Linked DNA regions of Oreochromis niloticus. The protein of the gene in region 1 purifies or fractionates together with the protein of each later gene. This does not show direct contact. Links are inferred from orthologs where the notes say so. Each region holds a gene or a part of one and is shown on either strand. Other genes may lie near its edges. The genes, in order: fen1 and rad1.

The links.
Region 2: the proteins of fen1 (region 1) and rad1 purify together in Homo sapiens (affinity purification with western blotting; 3 studies listed by BioGRID). This does not show direct contact. The link is inferred for Oreochromis niloticus from reciprocal best matches to the Homo sapiens genes FEN1 and RAD1.

What each region holds. Positions count from the first base shown.
Region 1 is NC_031974.2:24,369,423-24,381,531, forward strand, and holds fen1 (flap endonuclease 1), read left to right. Parts: upstream 1-7,373; 5' UTR 7,374-7,510; intron 7,511-7,946; 5' UTR 7,947-7,959; coding exon 7,960-8,041; intron 8,042-8,193; coding exon 8,194-8,296; intron 8,297-8,448; coding exon 8,449-8,551; intron 8,552-8,646; coding exon 8,647-8,710; intron 8,711-8,870; coding exon 8,871-8,980; intron 8,981-9,314; coding exon 9,315-9,451; intron 9,452-9,698; coding exon 9,699-9,765; intron 9,766-10,013; coding exon 10,014-10,145; intron 10,146-10,240; coding exon 10,241-10,392; intron 10,393-10,847; coding exon 10,848-10,962; intron 10,963-11,194; coding exon 11,195-11,272; 3' UTR 11,273-11,479; downstream 11,480-12,109. Other genes in the region: tm9sf1 (transmembrane 9 superfamily member 1), read right to left, coding at 922-1,280, 1,389-1,511, 4,658-4,789, 5,456-5,662. UniProt on the Homo sapiens protein: Structure-specific nuclease with 5'-flap endonuclease and 5'-3' exonuclease activities involved in DNA replication and repair.
Region 2 is NC_031972.2:18,190,560-18,202,871, reverse strand, and holds the start of rad1 (cell cycle checkpoint protein RAD1), read left to right. Parts: upstream 1-6,868; 5' UTR 6,869-7,395; intron 7,396-7,677; exon of another isoform or gene 7,678-7,889; intron 7,890-8,221; 5' UTR 8,222-8,265; coding exon 8,266-8,460; intron 8,461-8,573; coding exon 8,574-8,682; intron 8,683-8,772; coding exon 8,773-8,930; intron 8,931-9,146; coding exon 9,147-9,247; intron 9,248-10,187; coding exon 10,188-10,286; intron 10,287-11,535; coding exon 11,536-11,713; 3' UTR 11,714-12,312. Other genes in the region: dym (dymeclin), read right to left, coding at 3,809-3,948; c21h18orf32 (UPF0729 protein C18orf32 homolog), read right to left, coding at 6,360-6,425, 6,646-6,825. UniProt on the Homo sapiens protein: Component of the 9-1-1 cell-cycle checkpoint response complex that plays a major role in DNA repair. The 9-1-1 complex is recruited to DNA lesion upon damage by the RAD17-replication factor C (RFC) clamp loader complex.

The DNA.
Region 1 (12,109 bases):
CTGAAGGTGAAAGCAAAGTATTTTTATGATTGGGAGAACCAAAAAGAGAGCAAGAAACGGCTCTGTTATATTTACATGGTCTTGCAGGTAATACAGGTCCAGGAATTGCATACAATTTTGCACATTTAGACCAAAAAGAAACTACATTAAGGACTAAACTTCACATTAAAGCTTCTATTTAAACATAGTAGTAAAATGAGAGCTTGGAGACAGAAAAACCAACAAAAGCCCTTAAAGTGTTCAACAGATACAAGGACATAAAATAAAGAAAAGGAAAATCTCTGATTTTCCTGCACAGACATCTCCAGGTTTTACAGAGAATGGTCTGAAAAAGAGAAAATCCAGTAAGCTGCTCACTGCCTTGTTGACACCAGAGGTCAGACGAGAGTGGTCAGACTGCTTTGAGCTGACAGGAAGGCAACAGTATCTCAAATAACCACTCGTCACAACCAACGTATGCAGAAGAGCATCAGAATAAAAAAACATGTCCAACCTTGAAGCAGATGGGCGTAAAGCAGCAGAACTCACTTGGTGCTACTCCTGTCAGCCAAGAACAGGAAACTGGGGCTATAACCTACATCAACTTACCAAAGTTGGATATGAGAAGACTAGAAAAACTGTCTGGCCTTTTGATTTTGGTGTTAACAACGTGAAAGCATGCCTTATATCAACAAATCAGGCTGGTAGTGGTGGTGTAATGCTGTGGGAGATACTTTCTTGGCCCACTTTGGCCCCCTTCAGTATTGTGCCCAAGGGTCCTTTGGCAGGCAGACTGAAGCAGCCGGGAATTGCACCTCCAGCCTTCTGTTCTCAGCCAACCCATTATTAAACCACATTAAAGGGACACAGAGACCTGACATTTTGTTTTGTCTTTTGTATTCAAGCAATGCATTATTCACTGTCTTTGCGTCGCTTGCTCACCTAGCAAAGTCATTCTTAAGGACTCTCATGAGGATGATGATGACGAAGCCAAGAAGCAGCACCACCAGCACCAGTGAGTTAATGATGGACAACCAGTGGATCTCCAGTGTTTTGGGGAAGAACGAGTAGTCTCTGAGACGCTCAGCTCTCCGGGAATAGGGCAGAGATGATTCAAACCAGTGCACGCTGTAGGTATGGGTCACCGTCAGGCTGCCTCCGCCTACTCCGACACCCCCCACTGCTGCACCTGCCCCCTCCTCTAAGGGAACAGGCTTAACGTCTTTTACTGAGACATTGGCAAAGATCACAGAGTCGCCGTTGTACTCGATGTTGAAATCCAGATGCGTCCACAAACCCACCTGATAGAACAGAAAAGAGGCAGGAGGAGTTTAGAAGTAAGAGGAATGATGCTTCATTTGGTTTATCAAGAGCTTAGCATATCAATAAAACATTTCCATAATTTCTACCTTGTGGCTGTGAGGCAGGAAACCACTCTCCTCTATGTATCCTACAAAACCCCAAATTGGAATATCGTCCAGGACAAATTCAAAGTAGTACAGCTCCTCAATGGCCTCACGAAGCTCGTCCACCTACCAAGGAAAAAACAAGCACCAACAGTTAACAGATGACATATTTTAAGCAGTAGTTGTTGTCATTGTTTGTTCTAATATGATGGGATCACTGTTTTTTGTCCTTGTCTGTATACATGTTCTAGAAATAGTGTCTCTGTATGTTGCTATTAACTTGTGTGTAACATCAACCTGCCAGAGGGTCTACAGATGGAAATTAGCCTAGGGCTATAATCTGGCACATTTACATTTGTTAAAATGTTCATTAAAATGTATTGACCCTCTTTTTTTATTAGAAAAAGGTTGTGGCCTCACATAATGAAACAGCTGTGCTAAAGTTGTACAGATGTTTATTATGTGAAACTGCTATTTTACAGACTCCATGGTTCAGCATACAACAAAGTACAGGTGTAACAGCAAATATCAAGAGGGATTAGATCCTGATATGGATACATGTATCCAAGGTAACAAAGGATGAAAGACTTCCATGAAATGCAAAAAACCCAACAGTTTTAGTTTTATCATCTTATCCAGAAAAAGAAAAAATAACTTCACTGCTACAGACCAGCAGATCTAAAAAGGAAATCTGTTTACACATAATTTCTGGCCACTTTGAGAATTGCCTTGATTTCCATTAAACAAGGTCCAGGAAACATTCCTCAGAGATTTTGAGCACAGTCAATGCCATGTTCAAGAAACCAGGTTAAGTTTATTTAAGCTTTGTGACATGGTTTGTTATCCTCCTTGAAGCAGAAGATGGTACACGGTGGTGGTCAGCCAGTTCTGACTCATCAGATCGGGAAACATTTCTCCAGTCTTCTACTGTCCATCTTTGGTGAGCCTGTGTGAACTGTAGCCTCTGCTGTTCTGACAGGTACTGTAGCCCATCCAATCTACTGTCATGTTATGTGTTCAGAGATGCTCTTTTGCATACCTTGGTTGTATTGATTAGCCATCTGAATTTTTGTTGCCTTCCTATCAGCTCAAAGCAGTCTGACCATTCTCCTCTGGCCAGAATATCGACAGGCCATTTTCACCCAGTCCTGCTGCTCACTGGATATTTTCTTTTTCAGACAATCTCACGGTAAACTCGAGAGAAAATCCCAGTAGATCAGCAAATTCTGAAGCACTCGATGGAGCTCACCTGGCACCAACCAACACATTCAAGGTCACATAAATCACCTTTCTTCTGCATTCTGATTCTCGGTTTGAACTGTAGTAGGTCACCCTGACCATGCCTATATACCAAAATGCAATGAATTGCTGACATTTGATTGGCTGATTAGATGTTTGCTTTAACAAGTAGTTGAACAGGTGCACCCATCAAAGTGGCTGGTGAGTAGCTTTACCCATATACAGGTCCGTCTCAAAAAATTAGCATATCGTGATAAAGTTCATTATTTTCTGTAATGTACTGATAAACATTAGACTTCCATATATTTTAGATTCATTACACACAACTGAAGTAGTTCAAGCCTTTCATTGTTTTAATATTGATTATTTTGGCATACAGCTCATGAAAACCCAAAATTCTTATCTCAAAAAATTAGCATATGTCATCCGACCAATAAAAGAAAAGTGTTTTTAATACAAAAAAAGTCAACCTTCAAATAATTATGTTCAGTTATGGACGCAATACTTGGTCCGGAATCCTTTTGCAGAAATGACTGCTTCAATGCGGCGCGGCATGGAGGCAATCAGCCTGTGGTACTGCTGATTTGTTATGGAGGCCCAGGATGCTTCGATAGCGGCCTTAAGCTCATCCAGAGTGTTGGGTCTTGGGTCTCTCAACTTTCTCTTCACAATATCCCACAGATTCTCTATGGGGTTCAGGTCAGGAGAGTTGGCAGGGCAATTGAGCACAGTAATACCATGGTCAGTAAACCATTTACCAGTGGTTTTGGCACTGTGAGCAGGTGCCAGGTCGTGCTGAAAAATGAAATCTTCATCTCCATAAAGCTTTTCAGCAGATGGAAGCATGAAGTGCTCCAAAATCTCCTGATAGCTAGCTGCATTGACCCTGCCCTTGATAAAACACAGTGGACCAACACCAGCAGCTGACATGGCACCCCAGACCATTACTGACTGTGGGTACTTGACTCTGGACTTCAGGCATTTTGGCATTTCCCTCTCCCCAGTCTTCCTCCAGACTCTGGCACCTTGATTTCCGAATGACATGCAAAAGTTGCTTTCATCCGAAAAAAGTACTTTGGACCACTGAGCAACAGTCCAGTGCTGCTTCTCTGTAGCCCAGGTCAGGCGCTTCTGCCGCTGTTTCTGGTTCAAAAGTGGCTTGACCTGGGGAATGCGGCACCTGTAGCCCATATCCTGCACACGCCTGTGCACGGTGGCTCTGGATGTTTCTACTCCAGACTCAGTTCACTGCTTCCGCAGGTCCCCCAAGGTCTGGAATCGGTCCTTCTCCACAATCTTCCTCAGGGTCCGGTCACCTCTTCTCGTTGTGCAGCGTTTTCTGCCACACTTTTTCCTTCCCACAGACTTCCCACTGAGGTGCCTTGATACAGCACTCTGGGAACAGCCTATTCGTTCAGAAATTTCTTTCTGTGTCTTACCCTCTTGTTTGAGGGTGTCAATGATGGCGTTCTGGACAGCAGTCAGGTCGGCAGTCTTACCCATGATTCCGGTTTTGAGTAATGAACCAGGCTGGGAGTTTTTACAAGCCTCAGGAATCTTTTGCAGGTGTTTAGAGTTAATTCGTTGATTCAGATGATTAGGTTAATAGCTCGTTTAGAGAACCTTTTCATGATATGCTAATTTTTTGAGATAGGAATTTTGGGTTTTCATGAGCTGTATGCCAGAATCATCAATATTAAAACAATGGAAGGCTTGGACTACTTCAGTTGTGTGTAATGAATCTAAAATATATGAAAGTCTAATGTTTATCAGTACATTACAGAAAATAATGAACTTTATCACAATATGCAAATTTTTTGAGAAGGACCTGTATTTGATATTTTGGATATTAGTTGGTTGGGTAGATATTTGGCTTTTAAGTTGAGGAGTAGAATAGCATTTTTGTTTCATTTTTACGTGGCTGAAAATCCTCACAGTGGTGCTGGTCAAAGCTTTGAATGTTTGCAGTTTATTACCAACCAGTTTTCTGATGTTAGGCATGTTAACTATTACAAATTTACTCCTGTAAATACCTGTTTTTCTGAAAGAGTGAGCTGGCAGAGAGCTTTTTTCTCCACGTTCTCTCTGAAGCGGATGTAATATAAAGACTCTGCCATTCTGTCACCATCCAGCACTTCTCCCAGGCTCAGAGACTTATGATGCACCTGATGAAAGAAGTATTAGCATTTAATATACAGGATGTTTTTTTTTAAAAAGTGCCAAATTAGGTGATCATAATTCTGAGAGCAGTTATTTCAAAACTGTTAGCTAAATAAAAATCGATACAATGTTAATACAATGTTACTGCTGCCTTTGAAAATGCAGGCTCCACTGCTACCAACACAATCAAACTTCCAATAATGGCTTTTCTCTTAAACCTGCGAGCCATGAAATAAACTATCAACTTAAAGAAAAAGCTTGTGTTTTGGTGAAATGTGTGAATTCTTAACAGCAAATCAGTTACACAAAATTAAAACATTTTTATTACTCTCATGTTTCAGGATGTCATTTTGATCACATTTTTACAAGAAAATGCCATGATCTTTCTATAAAAAAGACACTTCTTTACTCAACATGAATTAATACGCATTTTCAGATTTTGTGGTTGGGAGTAACACTTCACCTCAATATTACACCCTCAAGTAGAAACAAACAGATATGGGATAAAATATAACATAGCAAAGTCTTTTCTTAAAAATATTTTCACAGGAACTGGAGACGTAAGTCCTGAGATTTAGATATTATCATTACACTCTCATCTACATGTCTCCAGTTCTTCTGTTTTGTTACAACAGACCAACACCACGCAGTGACACAGAACTAATACTGACCTTCTCCGGCCTGCAAACAGGCAATGTGTAATAGTGATATGTCTCCTGGGGGTTATGATAAGGGCCCACTTTGTTGACATAAAGAGTCACATTGTCTCCCTGCTTGTAGCCAAGGGCCCAGCCTAAGAACGAGAACAGGATCAAGACAGAGTGCAGCACCATCATCCTCTGACAGCCACCTGACGTGCGTCCTGTTCCACGATGCATGGCCCCTGTTGAAAACACGACAGCTTATCAGTTCAGGTTTATTTTAAGCTAGCCTGTCTCTCACTTTTGTGCACTTCTAATGTGACACGTAATTATCTTAACACGGAGAGGTATAACTGCATAATTTTATGCAACGTCACTCCTGCGCTGTGTTAACAAACACAGCAGAAAATGATGAAACTGGCTCAAACACAGATGCTGTGTAACCACAGTGAATTGCAATGCATTTCATCAGTTTCATCAGCCCAAAAGAGGGTTTGGGATCAAATAAGCACCGTCAGTTTGTCTGTTGGAGTTTATAAGAGCAGAAAATAAGTAACATTGCTCAGAGGGACAGTTTTCATCCAGGTGCAGAGTTTCAGAGTTGCTTTCAATTTCAAAGCATATTAGACAAACATTAGTGTTCATGGTATGCTTAACTTGCATATGAACATGTATTAAGTTTGCGTTGGAATGGTGACGCATGATGATACAATGCCACGGCTCCCCTTTCATTTGCATACTCTACAAAGCACACAAACGTGTTCCCTATCAACTACATTTCCAGAAAAACCACAATCCTCACATTTTTTTATGCAAGTGATAGAAGGAGAACTTTAGAAGGGCGACCTAGAATTATTGCTGATGTGGCATTAGTGTTGAATTTCACAGCAATGCAAATTTGGTCTGAATGGTAAGGTTGCAATGCCTTTGATATAAGCCAGATCACTTTTTGATCGTCCCTTGTGACGAACTAAAGAATAGCATCACAGCTCTATGCACATCTGAACTTTTTACTGATTACAAGACTACATACGAAGCCCACGAAGTATTCAGAAAGACTCAAGCCAAAAGAGTTAAATCAGTTGAATGAATAATAGCAGCAAACACGCAGAAATGCCTCACACAGTGAGATAAGTAATAGTATATACAACAACTGCAGTAAGCAGTAAGAGCAAGGTCGCTACACTACAAGCTGTGTCCTGTTTCTGTGGACAGCAGCATGATTATAATCAAAGGGGGCCTCCTTAATTTAAGTAAAACAAGCGACTCATCCACATCAACGCTGTTTTACTCCAAATAAGCACATGCTCGCTAAAAAAGACTACAACAACGAAATCAGCACAATCGGATCTACCGTTCGTCCGTCCCGATGCTCCAGATCCAACAAAATCTGTCTGTCCGCCGGCTTCTTTGGACTCCAGGCCCCAGCAGGCTGCTCTCTTCTCCGCTACAGTGGAGCTCAGTGTGAAGATTCAGCCTTACAGCCGAGCATCTTGGAAATTCTTGATATCTTGTGTCAACGTAATATCACTACGTTCATATCCGGGTACACTGAGTACTTTTATTCACACATGGGCCAGTGTGGACGAAGAAGAAGAGCTCCGACTCCACGTCACCTTAGAAAATAAAAATAACGACGACTCGGCTGAGTTTTCCGGAGTGGGCGGAGAAACAAGAATACACCTGAAATCTTACCGGTTAATCCCAGCCGGTGACAAATTTAACTCACAAGCAATGTAAAATAAACGTGGAGTATTTACGGTCTTTAACGCCTCTGGAAATTATGAACTAAAAGGTGGGAGTTCGCGGCTTTCGACGGTGTTATTTTTTCCCCCTTTTTCCTATAAACCGGATTTCCTTCAACAGTAAATAACCAATCAGTGCCTTTGCGGGTCTTCCGTGTCGGAACTCAGGGCTGATTAATCAACCTTGCACTATCGATGCACGGTTTTTCGGAGTACCTGGAAGTGAGGCGCTCGGTAGATCGATAGAAAATGCCTGCTATTTGATTTCCCGCGAAACAGTCAGTTCCTCGCGCGCTAGGACGTGGAGCGGCTGCACGAGCTGAGGTGTTTTACTAAATTGGTGAGTCCGTTGTAAATGTTAACAATATATAACCTGCAAGCTAACTTTGATAGTAGATTGCTGCATCCTGTGGCATTTTCATTAAAGTCAGCTGGTACACACTAGTAGATCAAAGCCAGGATACATTTCTGCTCGGCAGTTTGCTTACATGAACTCGTCGATTTAAAGATCATTGTAAATTCACAAACCTGGCACACACATTGCTGAGAGATAACAAATGAGGCGGAGCTCGTCTTTTAATTGACATCAAGCCTCCGTTAAAAAAAAAAAAGAGCTTCATATTTGTAAACAACTTGTACTGTGACCTCTTTGTTTTCTCAAGCTTCTGCAGACCCGACCTGTACCAGTGATAGGGGCCTTTGTGAAATGCAGTGGGGATGGAAATGACACAGCATGTTAACCACAGAGCTTCACTCTCTCTCTCTTTTTTTCTCAGATTTTCTGACACAATGGGAATACACGGACTTGCCAAGCTAATTGCTGACCAGGCCCCTGGTGCCATTAAAGAGCAAGACATAAAGAACTACTTTGGTAACTGTTCCAGATTACACTCCTTATACATCAGTGATGCATGAGTTTCAGTCTACCCTCAATTTGTTGCAACATACAGTATGTAGTATGCATGATGGAATGCTAACTCTTTATGTCATTGTTGAATGAGCACCTCTTTTCACCTTCTGTAGGCAGGAAAATTGCTATTGATGCCTCTATGTGCATCTACCAGTTTCTGATCGCTGTGCGACAAGATGGTAACGTTCTGCAGAATGAAGATGGAGAGACAACAAGGTACTGCTGCAACAATAAACATTTAAAATTGAATAAGAAGACCTAATTGTAGATCCTTCATAGATGCAGTAGTTCCTCTGTTTAACCTCAGTGATTTGTAACTTAGGTCTGAACACACAGGAATGATTTTTGCCTTTACTCCTTTCTTCAAGCCACTTAATGGGAATGTTCTACCGCACCATTCGCATGTTGGAACATGGAATCAAACCTGTGTATGTGTTTGACGGCAAGCCCCCACAGCTCAAGTCAGCAGAGGTGAGTAAGGATTTCCTCTGGCCCTCACCCATCTGCAAATGGAAACATTTGTACTGACAGCTCTCTCTTATTCTGCTTGTGTCTTCATCTTCCAGCTTGAGAAAAGAGGGGAGAGGAGAGCCGAAGCTGAGAAGATGCTTGCCCAGGCCCAAGAAATTGGTAAAGACTTTTCTGGGGGGGGGGGGGGGGTTGTTGGAAGTTGCTAGTTTTTAAACCACACTTGGACTCAGACTATATCACAAGTATTATAGGAAAGTCTGTGAACATGTTTTACTTTGGGCATGAAAGTCTAATTGGATGTTTTTCTCTCTCAAACCAGGGGAGCAAGAGAACATTGACAAGTTCACTAAGCGTCTGGTTAAAGTCACGAAGCAGCATAATGATGAGTGTAAGAAGCTCCTGACCCTGATGGGAGTGCCTTACATTGAGGTGAGATTTCTATTTCTACACATTCTTGTGGCATCAAGAATATTTGCACAGTTATTACACAGTTTGGAGACATCCCTCCCATGAATGATTTGTGTTTTAGTGTTCCTACAATGTTACAGGCTTCTTATCCTCTTACCCTTACCAAGTTACAGTTATACAGTCCAGCTGGGGTCATTCACACAGAAAGACAGAAATGTAATTAAATTATGCCTAAAGCTTAAAAATATACATGAATTGGGATTCTGCAGTGCAGTTTGAGGTAGTTGCATTAAGACAGATTGTGTGTACCATTCTGTTAGATGTAATTTAATTTATTTTTTTCATTTCCTTAAAGGCTCCATGTGAAGCTGAGGCCAGCTGTGCTGCTCTGGTTAAAGCAGGGAAGGTGTTTGCCACGGCAACAGAGGATATGGACGGGCTGACCTTTGGGACAAACATCCTTCTCAGACATCTCACGGCCAGTGAAGCAAAGTATGAACCGGCATCACCTTTGACAGAGATATTAGCAGAGTGGAAATGACCTAAAGTTGTTGCCTTAATTCTACATCAGATTTATGTTTGCCATATAAATATATGTGTATATGAGATGGTTCAAATGAATAAGTTCACACTTCCAATTCATAAATTTGAACCAAGTTATGAGGTTTTAGGATTTGGTAGTTTGATAGTCGCCATGCAACATAAATAGTCAACTACAAGCTGTTTATTATTGTTTCAGGAAACTTCCTATTCAAGAGTTCCACTTCAGTCGCATCCTGCAGGACATCGGCCTGACCAATGAACAGGTAAAGTGTTCTTTTCCTGTCTTGAACAAATTTTAGATAAATAAGTTTCTCTTTAAATCTGAAGCACTTCCCGTACTTCTCTCATGATGACACAGCTATCACCTGGTGCATGTCAGCATGCTGTGCTGTTTGTTCAAAGAAATGTGGTGGTACTCTCCTGGCTATCAGATGTTTGTGCTGTGGAGCTTTAAACACAACATTGATCTCAGTCTTTCTTGCTATTTACTCCTTTCTGTACTCCATCCCAGTTCATTGACCTGTGTATTCTGTTGGGCTGTGACTACTGCGGCACTATCAAGGGGATCGGCCCAAAGAGAGCAATCGACCTCATCAAACAGCACGGTAGCATCGAAGAGATTCTAGAGAACATTGATTCCAATGTAAGTTGAAGGTTGCTGTAATCTGTAGTGCAGGTCAGCTGAGCGAGGTGCCGGTTCTGATTCTGTGTGTGTGCGCAATGCTTGTCTTTATGCAGAAGCACCCTGCTCCAGAAGACTGGCTGTACAAAGAAGCCAGGGGTTTGTTTTTGAAGCCAGAAGTGGTGGATTGTTCTACAGTGGAGCTGAAGTGGAACGAGCCGGATGAGGAAGGACTGATCCAATTCATGTGTGAAGAGAAACAGTTCAGGTGAACTAAATATTGACTCATTCTTATCTTCTGCTTTACCTATTTACTTAGTTTGACGGAGATGATCTGTTGTTGCTTTGACTTTGACTACACACACTTTTTTGTTTAATGTTTGACCAATAGGTGGCACTGTTGTCTATGTACATGAAGTGTTTCTGGCATCTTTTGAGTTCGATGGTTGATCATCTGCCTCCATCTAATCCTATCCCTAGTGTCCTCCTGTCACACAAACCCTCTGCATGTCCTCCTTCACTACATCTATGAACCTCCTCTCTGCTTCTCCTCTTTTCCTCCTGCCTGATGCCTCCACTCTTTTAAAAAATAAAAAGATATTTGATCTATAGTGTGTTCGTCTTGCAGGTTTACACATTTTTTCTGTCTGTTAAATATGTGAACAAACATACTCATAGGATAAAGTGAAGCTTTTATTATTTTATTTGTGTATGTGTGTGCAGTGAGGACAGAATCCGTAACGGCTGTAAGAAGATTGTAAAGAGCAGACAGGGCAGCACGCAGGGACGTCTGGACTCTTTCTTCACTGTCACTGGATCTCTGTCGTCCAAGCGAAAGGTACATGTCAGAAAACTGTGGTACTGTGTGTGTGTGTGTGTGTGTGTGTGTGGTTTTTTTTTTCTGTCTAAAATTCTTTCTAGTTCTCTTGTAACTATAAAAAGCAGGCAGAAGTGTTTGACTGACATATTTAATTTAGATCTTGTTATAAAAACAGGAAACTGCTGGTGTAAAGACTGATTTCTTTTCCTAGTCCTGACATTTTCTATACTGTTTTCTTTGTCTTTGTCAGGAACCTGAGATAAAAGGATCAGCAAAGAAAAAGCAGAAAACTGGAGCCACACCAGGCAAATTTAAGAAGGCCAAATAGACTGAATGTATCCATAAATTTATCTGAGACGTTATTGTGATGAGTGATGTTTGGAGTTAAGACTAAAGGAAACTGCTACTGCTACTTTTTTGTAACTTTCTGTTGTATCACCTAACGAAACCTGAGCTAGCTGTATTTTAATGAGTGTTGGACAGTTTTATTTCAAGTGTTGGAAATAAAAAAATGATTTTTTTGTAGAGATCCTCATTTGTTGCCCTTTTACAGTACTGTGCAAAAGTCTAAAGCTTTCCCTCTTATCTTTATATTTTGCTACCAATGAGCAAGCCAATAGTTCTCCAGACTTCCCTAATGTCTTGCAAAGTTTTGCTTTGGACATTAGCTGCTCTTGTTTTTTGTTTTTTTTTGTCCTCTCACTTTCAGTCTACTCCTTATATCCGACCACCAGACAACATGGCAAAGAACTAATCTTAAACTTTACAACAAGGTGAAAAAATGCTATTCTATGGCCATGAGACAAAGAGCTATTAGGCGAAAACCTGGCATATTTCAGCATGGTTCATCCATCGCCTCATCAGATATGGACTCCAGGAGAAAAGGATCAGGTCTGCCAAATTACAGATGGCAATAGGTCTTATGGAGTGATGACACAAAATTTCCAATTTTTGGTTACAGTATTCAGCATAATCCAGCCGTAAGTGTCCATATCTGTAAACATCTGTAAAACATGGTGGAGGCCCTGTTATGGTTTGGTCTATTTTAGCCAGTGGTGTCAGGGATCTTGTTAGAATTGGCAGAATTAATTTTTCAGCATGACAGTGATCCCAAACACACTGCCAGTGCATTAAAACACTACTGGCCAAAAGTTTTAGAACACCC
Region 2 (12,312 bases), on another chromosome or scaffold:
CATTAAAAAAAAAAAAAATCATCATAACGAGAGGCACACATAACTTCTAAGAAAAAGATAAAATTGTTTCTTAATTAATTAACTAAACTTAATTTTATAAAATGTGAACAAATATAAAATGGGTTTATGTTGCTACCAGCTGTACACATGTGGCTACAGAGCTCCACTCAGTGTGGGTTCAGACTCCACTGTAATAGTTCATCCAGATAATATTTCAGGTTCTTTGAACAGAAAGTCTGTGGGGTGGATAGGAGAGTAAGATGTGACAGGGTTTGGTTGGTAGGTAGTTCATTTGTCTGAACTAGCATCTAACAAACAGTTCAGTTTGTTGCTATCATGCTGTGTAAATCTAAAGGCTCTTATAACTATATTACACAGCATGCTTGTAGCTGCTAAGTGCAAGGTGTCTAACTTTTTATGCTTTGTGGTTATCTCTGTGCTGGTAACCACAGGATTAACTTTAGTCATGTCTGTTGTATCCCAAAAGGTTGATTCTTTTCATCTGGATGTAGCGTTTTCTGTGGGAGAAACGTTTCGTCACTCATCCAAGTGACTTCTTCAGTCTCAGCTGACTGCAGGTTTCCCCAACCTTATGAACAGTACATTTGCATAATGCCTGAAACTAGCACCACTGAATGCACAATGGGCTGGGAGGTGAGTTCCTTGATCATTAGTATGCAAATTCTCATGACCATTGATCAACAACTACTGATCAAAGCACTGATCAAACGTTTCTCCCACTAAAGACGCTACATCCAGATAAACAGAATCAACTTTTTGGGATTTCCTTACCTGGATGATTGAGCATGCATCAAGACATGTCTGTTGTAGATTCATCACTCTGGTCTCCAGCCAAAACACCACGCATCTGCTTTTCTGTTGTCACAGTGTTCTAGAAATCATTCTAAGTTTTGTTTGATAAGTTTATATATTTGTTTGTTTAAAATCTTAAAGTCCATAAAGAGGCTAGCAAAAACAATATTAAAGAGCCGTTTCTCCTCCGTACTTAAACACTGTAGAATTCTAGGGCATGTTTGAAGCACTCCCATCTAGTCACGTATGCGCAGTTACATCTGTTTGCTGCAGACGGAACAACCTTTTGTTGACAGGTTTAAATGTTTGTATTTTGGCCAAACTTATAATTGCCAGATTCTGATGCAAAATTATTTTGCATCAGAATATTATTTTTTAAATCATAGAAGCCTTGTAATACTGTAAAACAGATTAATGGGACAGCAGTGCAGAGGCTTCAGAACTTGCCTTACAATTCTCTAGTTTAAAATATTTCTTTAACATTACCGGGACAGTTGTCTGTAATTTCACTGCTGCACAGCAAACAGTGACTGCTGATGATTAATTTGGCAACTTTATTTTTCAAATTGTAAACAAATAAAGTTTAAAACATCGTTCCGTCGCTGCCACAGTGCAACTTAGTTTAACCCAGTAAACTGAAGTGTCCATCAAAGTGAGCAGTCACATTAGGACCCCCGTCCTCCTTTAGGCTCCGCCTTCAGACAGTGAAAGTGCAGTAAGTAGCAGAGAGCTACCCACGAGAGTGTAAAACTGTAGCAGCACGTCCAAAGCAGACACTCTTGTGTGCACGATGGCTTTTTTGCGTGCGCAGCTGCTGAGTTTAATGTGCAGGCGCTTCCCTTTCACTCAGATAAACGGTTGTCAACACAGGTGAAGAACAGAAGAAGAGGCAGAGTTTTCTCAGATTATTAGTAAGATAAACCATTAGTGGTTCATCTTCCTAATACTTTAAGAAATCTCTGTCTGTTCTTCTGCTGTATTGACAACCATTCCTATGAACGGCTTTAGAGTTGGTGGGAACCTGATTAAGTGTGGTGCCAGACTTGACCATCTTTGACATTAATAAATACCCCATACTATTACCCTTAAATGTAACCATGACAACAGCAAACACTTATCCTGACCTACACCTAATTTTACTTTACACCATTTCCTGTTTCGGTGTTAATTTAGCTAGCTGCTGGCTTCAACTACTTATTTATCATGGCACAAAGACAGTGACACTGGCCATCATTCAACTTTCAGAACAAGAGGAAATTGTGCAAAAAGATGTGTATCCACAAACTATCAATTTGAAAGTCTCTTGTTTGATCACGTCTCACCATGTGACTGTTTGCGTCTCAAATAATTAAAGATTTATTCCTTTTGTTTAAAGGCCAAGTGCCTTACACAACTACAGGGCTATAAGCCTTTGAACAAATAACAGAAGTAAAGCCATTAAGGACAGCCAGCCCACTGTTGCAATACTGGAGAAGAATGACACGCATAAAACGCTGCATGAAAGTGCTACATATGTAACCAAACCATTAGAAAAAGCAACAATGTTCCACTTTCTGAACCTGCAAGTGCTCAATGGGTTCAAGTCACATGACTTTCATCATTAAAGGGTGAACATGAGGTTTCTTAAAATGTCAAACAACAGAATTTGTTGAGAAATCTCTGTGTGTCCTTCTGTAGCCGACACAGCACTCCAAGAGCACTAGTTATTATAGATTACCATTCAGTAGTTTGGTTCAATATAGCAGCAACCTGATATTTTAGCTATTTGTGTTTATCTTTTTGAGCAGCAATTAGAGTGTAAGGGCAAATACACACAGGAAGAAACTAACACCAGTTTGTCAACCAGAAATCTCAATGTTCAAATGGACGACTTGAAGTGATAATTACTCATGACCGACCCACTGACAGCAGCAAATTGCTGTATACTTGGACAGGCCTCAACTTTTTGCCTTAATACAGAGGACACTATTTCTCAGTCTTATTTTAGACAAACACTAAGTATGAATGTAAAATGTTACATGTGTCTTCTGTTTCTGTTACTTGGTAGATACTGTAGCTATATTTATTTTATGAATGAAAAACATCACAACATCAGTAGATTAACATGTAACATCAGTCAATCAGTCATGGTCCACCTGAAAGCGCAAACAAGGTGCCTTTCGTTTTCAGTGCTGTTTACAAAGGAACTAAACGTTAACGGTTAACTGGTCTGATCACAGCCAAGCAGATCAGCAGCCCTGTTAGATCGTTGCTCAGGTGCTCAGGTTGCTCAGGATTTAAGATTAAACCTTACAGTTTAATCTTAAATCCTGGGTGTAAATCTTAAAAGGACTTTCTAACTAGAAGGCTTTGTTCCCTTGTGGTGGAGGGAACAAACCATTATTAAAAACATCAGTGCATCTCAGGTCTGCAACCCAGGAAAATTCACTTATGTCAATATGAATGTTTCCTCCACTCTGTTTGCCTTCCTGACTTACTGCTTGTTTTGCCGGTTTTGATATGTGAAGGTTTCATCTGAGTGATTTAAAGTGTCACATTGTGTATAAAAGTTATTTATCGTAAAAGTACAGTAAAGTGGTGTTTAGAAGTCATAGCCTCAATTATTTGACTTAATAAATTACTAATTAAGTAGTTGAAATTAGTAGAGTGATGCCAAGTAAAAGTTATGTGGACACCTCCCCCCACCCCTTTGTGTTGCGAGGTGGGGCAATTGTTTATTGGGCTTGCTATGGAACATCCTAGATATGTCTGATGGGACTAATGTGCTAGTAGGGTAGGATGTCATCGGGGATTGTGGTTGCCATGGATGGGTGTGATTGGTTTGCAACAATGTTAATGTGAGTGTCTTTTTAAACTAACATAAATGCTTGGAGACAAAGTAGGACACTGCAATGACTGTTTGCAGTTTTAATGTGATGGCTGACAGGCGTATTGAATTTCAGGTGTGTGTGCCTGTGTCTAAGGCACACACAATAAAAACAGTGTTCCTTTTTACCTGCTGGTGGGACTGATGAAGGTGAAGGAGATGAGCTGGTTCCAGAAAGGGTCATTCTCCGATATGGACTCTGTGCCCACCAGGGCCTTGAGGCTGGGATTATCGGACAGGTCACTGACCTGACTGGTGTTGGCTCCCATCTTTGCTGACTGTGCTCAGCCAGACTCGCTGCTCTTCACTGCTTTTTCACCAGGCATATGCCAAACCTGGGACAAAGAAAATGCTTTAATCTTTGGAGGCACAGACAATAAACAACTGAGCTTCAAATTAACTACAGAATTAGCAAATTCATTAAGGTTAATGTGAGAATGAATGAGCTTCTGTTTACATTTATACATCTCCTACACTCAGATCTAAATAGGAATAGACAGAGGCCATCCTTGTCGCTTTGGGCTTTAAGAAACAAGGGCACCAGGGGTGCCAGGGATGACTGTGGTTCAATTGGACAGGTTCGATCCCTGGCTACTGCAGGCTGCATGGGGAAGACACTGAACCCAGAGTTGCATTCACTGGAGTGTAAATGTTTGATTAAAAGCACTTAGACATATAAAATGTGCTTGTATGAATATGTGTCCGTGTGTAAAGTTGTGATGACACATGCTGTATAAAGTGCTCTCAGAGCTTAAGCACAAGAGTAAGAGCCAGTTTACATACACTCCTGGTTCTTCATGTTCGTGCATTACAAAAACTGTAAAACAGATCTCACCAACTCAAACACAAACTCATCCTTGAAAGCCAAAGTTCACAGCATCACAGCAGGACGACACACACTGAACCAGGACATGACTTTTGTTTTTTTGTAATGACACACCTTAGACACACAGGTGTAGTCAGCATAAGTGAAGTGGAGTATAGCATTTACAATATTTGCATAGCAGTGCTAAACCATAAAGGACAATTTATCTTTCTCCAGCAAGAGCTAAAATTCCGTTTTCATATTCATTATATTCATTATATTATATTTACTTTAAATGACACTGTTTAAAGAATTGTTTTAAAATCTACTTGCACGACGTTAGCTTGACCATACTGATTTCAAGTGCAGGAAATAGCCTGCCGCTTAGCAGTTTTCATAGTAAACAATATAAACTCAAAGTCCCACATAAGAATGAAATAGGCGCTAATAAATTTCTCATTGAGGAGTGCTTTGGTTTAGTCAGTGGTTAATAACGCATATACAGAGAGCAGCCAGCTGACCGTTCAGCTTACCTGTCATAAACGCTTCTCTCAGCTGTCCGCGGCTCTGCTGACTCCCAGGACCGTTCAGGGGCGACTACTGTTTTTTAAAGTGACCTGAAGTTTAGTCCAGTTGATTTATTAAGTGCGAATGACAAAGGAAAAGGTCTGAAATTGTTTTGTAATTCAGACAGTTAAGTTTACTCTACATACTCCTTTCCTCCATGTTTTCCACGTAGCCACCCTGTGCGTAATGACGACATATGGGCGGTTACTACGTCTTCTTCGTGTGTTCGTCCAGTTGGAAGCTAAATATCAGAACTGCTGCCCTCTATTTTTTTTAACTTCTCTATTTTACATTTTTTAATAACTAGTGTATGCCCATACTATAGCATTGTTTCGGCTGTTCGCAAACGAAATCACTTTCAGCAAAATATATATTAATAAGATAAGATGAAAAAAAAATTGGTGCAATACATGCTGTTTATATGTTTAAAAAAACTTTTATTTTAGGCTATTGCTAGGGGATTTTAAGCATATACATTTCAAATTATGGGGTGTCCTGAGGCATCTCGGAAAATTGACAGCCCGGTCAGCATCATGGTGAACGTGTTTGAATAAGGGGAAGCCAAGTTACACAACAGAACATATGCAGACACAGTAACAAGTCAATAATAGCATTCACTTCACTTGTCAATGGCTTAAATGATGTGGCTGATCAGTGTAGAGTATATTCCAATACTTTAAAGATATTAAATATTATTAACTATATTTTTCCTTTTTGAGCAATGTGTGAAGACAAATGTTTTCCAGTTGCTTCTATGTCTGGAGAAATATGACATAGACATATTATGTCATAAATATGACATAAATATGTCTGTATAATAACATGGAACACTGTTGCTGAACACTGTTACTACCGGCAGTAAACACAAATGTCAGGTCTAAATTATTAGTTTATACTTACTTTCGTGTCAAGTTGCTAACATTCTTTCATATTTATTTTAATTATTTCAAAGTTATATGAACAAAACAGCTTTCTTAACAACTCAAATATGAAGAGAACACATTATTCAAAATGAAGAAAAAGCAACGGAAGCACTTAAGAGGTCTTGTTTATTTTATTCATTATTTATGCTTAAAGTTTAACTTACAAAATCTATATCATTCAATACAATAAACAGATGTATCAATTCATGATTAACAGAAAATATATCAACAAGATGGATGACAAAAATAAAAACAAGCTCCAAATAACAACTGGAAGGTTATAAAATCCAATTAATTCCAAGATGCTTTATAAGTTAATTTATAGTTTCTCTAGAAGAATGAAATATTTACATGGTTTATGAAGCATTGAATATATTTTGAGGTGTCAGTCTGTCTTCTTATCCGTTGCTATAGTAGATCCATTAGCAGTGGCCTCGCCGTTGCTTTCAGGCTGAAAAACATGAGTGAAAATTTTTTTAAAACTTGCAATCAAATAACTATGAAATTTTTACGTTAAAAATGACACAACACAGAGACCCTTTGAGTGGCTCCTATTAGTTTTACTATCATTTTTAGATATATTCGCTCTATATACCAGAGCTGGGAAATATTTCCATAATTATTTTTAAGTTTCTTAATGAAAACATCACAAAAATTATCCATTTACTTACCTTGCAAGTCCCATTACTCTTTTCACTAACTTTTTGGTCATTAGTACTGGTCTCCTGCACTGCCTTTTTGCTCCAGAATATATTAATAATGGGTGAAATAAAAGGATAGAGATAAGGCTCCAGGAACCTCTTGTAGACCCACAAGAGGACAGGAATCACAATACAGGGAATGCACACCATAGCTGTGGTTTAGACAGGGCAGTAAAAATGGAAAAACCTGCAGTAGAGAAAAAAACATTGTGAGTTGTAAAAAAAATACATAGTAAGTTTATGGTTGGTTGTTGAGATATTGCTACAAGGTTCCTGTAGAGTGATTTAATAACATTTCATTAATTTCTTAACATGTATACAATAGTTAAAAAACAAAAACAAACAAACAATTAAACAAACAAACAAAAACGACTAAAACCCCCCCAAATCAAACAACAATCCAACATACACTTTAAAACACGAAAATAAAGCAAAAAAATATATTGGTTGAAATGACAGAAATGTGTACACAATTTGAAAAGTAAAGGAATCTTTCTTTATAAATAGGTTACACAAATTTAAAAAAGAAATTTATGGCATATTTACAACAATTACTGCCTACGTTTATTTTAAACTCTTCTGGTGTATATAAGTTAGAAATGACTGTACTGAGACGTTTATTATTTTGTTTGTTTTATTTATTCTGGCAGCTTGGGTCCTCCACACAGAGCGACCTGTCAGCCATACTGACGTTTACAAGGCTAACCTGAGCTACCTTAGGTAACGATAGAAGGAAGCTTTCTTTCACACGACTACACAAATTACTCTGTTCATGATTTCCGTTGTTGTGTGCTGTAAATTGTTTTTCGATCATTTTTAACTTGACAGTTGACACACTATTGGTTTCATGCTCTCTAAGCTCAAATCAAACAGTGAGCTAAAGCTAGCGTCCTATCACACCCCGGTAGCTATAACGATTATGAAAAACTGTCACCAAAGTTCAAACATAAAAATAAAAAGATTTGAACTGTTACACGAGGAAGACAGAATAAAGACTCTCACCTCTGCCAATCACAAAATGATGTTGTCACGCACTACCGATGGGCAGAGTATGTTTTATGGCGAAATATCTGGAATGTTGCTGACGTAAGACGTACTTTAACTCCAACTTCCGTAGAAGAAGAGCGACAGGCGGAAGTTGTTCACCACCGGGCGCCTTTCTTCAAAAACAATCACAAGAACTGCTGCATAACAGCTTTATAAGAGACACGAAGGTAGTTACAGTTTTTGGGGGGAATATTTTAAATACATTAATGTATAGGAGGATCTAGATAGTACAGATGTAAATTATATTACCGTTAATTTCTGTTTTACGTCACTTTAAACTACAAGCGAGCTACAGAAAAAAAAAAACAAGCTTAGTACTTCAGTAAAAGCAAAGTGACAGTTCGGTGTGTGTGTGTTGTAGAGTCGACACATATCACTTTGGCGTATTAACATTCTGTCCGATTTAGAATATAAATGATACGCCATTCAACAAAGTTTCAACTTCATGCGCATGTGATGTATGATTGGAGCGGCTAATTTGATGTGTTTACCTTTACAGGGAGCTCACAGCGGGTATCTGTGCGCCTTTTTTTCAGCGCTACAATGCCTCTCGCCACTCAGTCGCAGGGTGATGACGAACAGTACGTTTTAGTGGCGAGTTTGGACAATGCTCGCAATCTCTCCAACATCCTGAAAGCAATCACCTTCAAAGATCACGCCATCTTCACAGCTACAACCAATGGCCTTAAGGTCACAGTGGAGGACTCGAAATGTCTGCAGGCCAATGCCTTCATCCAGGTGTGCTTCTCTTGTATTTTGTTAGTGAACATACTTAAATGAGCAGGTATGTTTACGTTGTGTTTAATCCTATAATACTGATACCTTAGTGAAATTGTACTCATGTCCCCCAGGCTGAGATCTTCCAAGAGTTCACCATAAGAGAAGATCTGGTGGCTTTTCAGATCAACCTCACTGTTCTCCTCGATTGCCTCAATATATTTGGTGGAACCACAACACCAGGTAAAATTTATAAAAATAAACTAATAAAAAAAAAACCCCACCTGAGATGTGACTCGGCATGCTTTATATCTGTTTTTTGTGATGTTGCAGGTGTATCAACAGCCTTGCGGATGTGCTACAGGGGGTATGGGTACCCTCTGACGTTGTTCCTGGAGGAAGGTGGTGTAGTGACCGTGTGCAAGATTAACACACAAGAACCAGAAGAACCGATTGACTTTGAGTTCTGCAGCACTAATGTCACGAACAAGGTTAATTTCACTTTTTCTGTTATTAAAACTCGAATATTGAATATACAAAAAAATCAGATGGGAAACGATAAACTAATACAAATGAATCAGTTCAGAAATCACAGTTTCTCTGGTTTCCTTACTTTACAAATCCAATTGGGATAACAGTATCTGCAGGTGTTAGAAAACAGGAAACACAACTCGGTAACAACTGATGTATCCCTGGCTCTTTTGTAGGTGATCTTGCAGTCAGAGAGTTTGAAGGAAGCCTTCTCTGAACTGGACATGACAAGTGAAGTGCTACAGATTACCATGTCCCCCAGCCAACCATACTTCAGGTGTGCTGTCCTTACTGTACTTTTTCTACAGTATTGTGCTGGTTTATGATTACGTTGCTAAAGTTAAAAAAAATAACTGTGTTTAAAATGACTGTAAAGGCCTTTACACACCAAGAGCATTGGGAAAAAAACCTGACGAAATTCATAATTTAATACATAACATATGTAAACACTGAAATGATAAAAACAGAGACTCTGGTTTCAGAGCAACAAGGAGAATTTCGTGGTTTCATTCAGAAGTTGAAGCTGTATCACGACCGCTTACTTACATACATCTTTCCGGATGTCATTGGGGTAGTTTGAATTCTTGTGGGCAGAGTTAGGATCACATCTGAGGGGACAGAGAAGTAATTTCGTAGAACTGATTGTGTGTCTGTATTAAAATTGTATTATTTACTTTTGCTGCATCACCGGTTTTCAGCACCGGTGTGTGTTTTAAACTACAAGCACACTTTTGTTGCCAAATGCAGTGGTCTGATTGGCAGATCTCTTTATTCGCGTTCTGAAAATTGAAAAAAAGTCCGAAAAATATTTTCAATGCACAAAATATTTAAATGAATTCTTTTATGAGTCTGGTGTGTAAAGGTCTTAAAAGAAAAGTCATTGAAGTTATCCACTGGGGAAAGTATTTGGGATTAGACATAATCCACTTCTTGGAAACTAAGTCTTCTTAACGGTAAAGGTGAGGCATGTTTTATGCTGGATTGTATTTATCGGATTGAAGCTAACACTAAATATAATGTATAGCTAAGCTAAAGGTAGGAACAGTGACTTTCTTCAAGGATTTGTTGTAACAAAATAGATCTTTTTCCTGTCATTCATTATCAGTGTGCTGAGGTAGTTTGCAGTGTAACTTTGTCCCCTCTGCATTATTTTTGAAAGTGCTGCTCTTTTTACCTTTCATTTATATTATTATTATTTGATTTGTTGATTTTCTAAGGTTGTCAACATTTGGGAATGCTGGAAATGCTCATTATGATTACTCCAAAGACTCGGACATGATGGAGCTGTTTAAGTGCACCGAGACACAAACGAACAGGTCAGCACACGAACACATGCACAGATTATTTAGACTGTAGAGAACACAAACTACCCATAGGTGGACTGGTAGGACAGGAAGCACCAACACAGCGACTAAAACCAAATGTCATACAAAGTAGTGAATGACTAAAGTGCTCTTTATCTCCTGGCGTCTACCAGTGATCTTTATCTCGCAACTGTCTGTGACTGACATTACTCTCATTTTCAGTTTTGACCCTTTTACATGCCTGTTCACGGATGGCTGCCGGGCAGATAACTCTGATAATAATGAAAAATTTGAAGATGTTGACATGAATGTTTTTATCCAAGTCCAAAAATTAAAAAGTTATAACAAGATATACACATCTTTCCTTTGAGAATTATAAAATTAGTATATCTGTTCAGTCACTGTGTCAAATATACCCTTGGACAACAAAGTTGACGTATATCAGATTCTCCAGCATCAGCTGGGTAATGCCAACAAACTAGACTGTAAATGACCTCCAGCAATGGTGGAAGTCATTTTTAATGAAACATAAGAAATGCTGGAATATATTTATATTAAACTGTTTAGTATTTTATTTTCTTCAAATCTAGTTTGTTTTATTTGATTGTAATTCTGAGCATTTTATGGCTTATGTTTTGGAAAACTAATAATAACCAAAGGGCAGTGATAATATTTTTTATTATTAACAAACTAAGCTTTGAAAATATTGACACTCACTTGTGTACACACACTAATAATGAGTGCCAGTGTGAACTCTGATAAGTATACACTCACCTTGTAGGTGCTCTAGAAATTCCTGGAATTGGAAATACTTCACTCAAGTAGACTCCCATGGTTTGACCTTGTGTTGTATACTTGTGTGCAAACTGTAATTGCCAGCATGGCTTCTAACCAGAGGTCTAACTGGCCACAGGACGTTGCAGCACCTGCATGCAGGTGTTTAGGATTTTAATCATTTCCCCGGTGACCCTTCGTCCCCTTTACATCTCCTTAAAAGCAGACTTGTTATGACTTATGTAATAGAGCTTGTTGACTGGATACATTTGACTTGTAACTGAATAAAAAGCACAGAAAAATAATGACATTTACAACTGCAACTGGATATGCCGACACTAATGAGTCAGCACTCCTGGATCCAGTGTTAAGTGTTTTCTTGGCCTTTCTATCGTATCATGTTAAAAATCTCTGCAAGAGAAATAGTTTAGGCATAGTTTCAGTGTATCCCCGTGTAATGTTTTGCTTGTATTCTGACTGCAAACAGATACAAGATGTCCCTCCTGAAGCCGTCCACCAAAGCCTTGGCTTTGTCCTGTAAAGTCTCCGTCAGGACAGACAACCGGGGCTTCCTCTCTCTGCAGTACCTGGTCAGGAACGACGACGGACAGATCTGCTTCGTAGAATATTACTGCTGTCCCGATGAGGAGGTAGAAGAGAACTGAGAACACCGGATTCAAATCTGACTTGTAATAAGTACCTTAACTACACACCGGAGTCCAGTTTGCCAGAGGAGGCAGGTATGGAGAAAATGCTGGACTTGTAATGGGCACAGTGGTGAAAACAGAAAATGAACTGATTCATCATTTGCCAGATTTGAGAGAAACAGATGTTGTGCTTGTGATTTGCTGGTGTTCTTATGCTCTCTATGATTACGCCACACGTCATAATCGTAGGTCTGTGTGCTGCAGGAGTATACATGTTCGATGTGTGTTCAAGTACTGTATTGATTCCTATGGAGACTCAGCTGTTTTCAGTCATAAGTCTCACAATTTGTGAATGTTACTCCTGAATTTGAGTCTACTTGTTAAATGCAGTTCTCTTTATATTTGCATATCAGAGCTCGTCTTTTGACATATGCCTCCAGATGGTTGCAGCCTGTAAAACAGGACACATTAGACCCAGCTCACTGATCTAAAACAACTAGACAGTGATCTAAAACAACACCTATTCTACCTACTTTGAATAGGTGTGATTTCTCTTAAGCTGTGGACACACTTCCTACAAGTCTATGCTGAAACTATTCCAAAAGCCTTTTATGGAG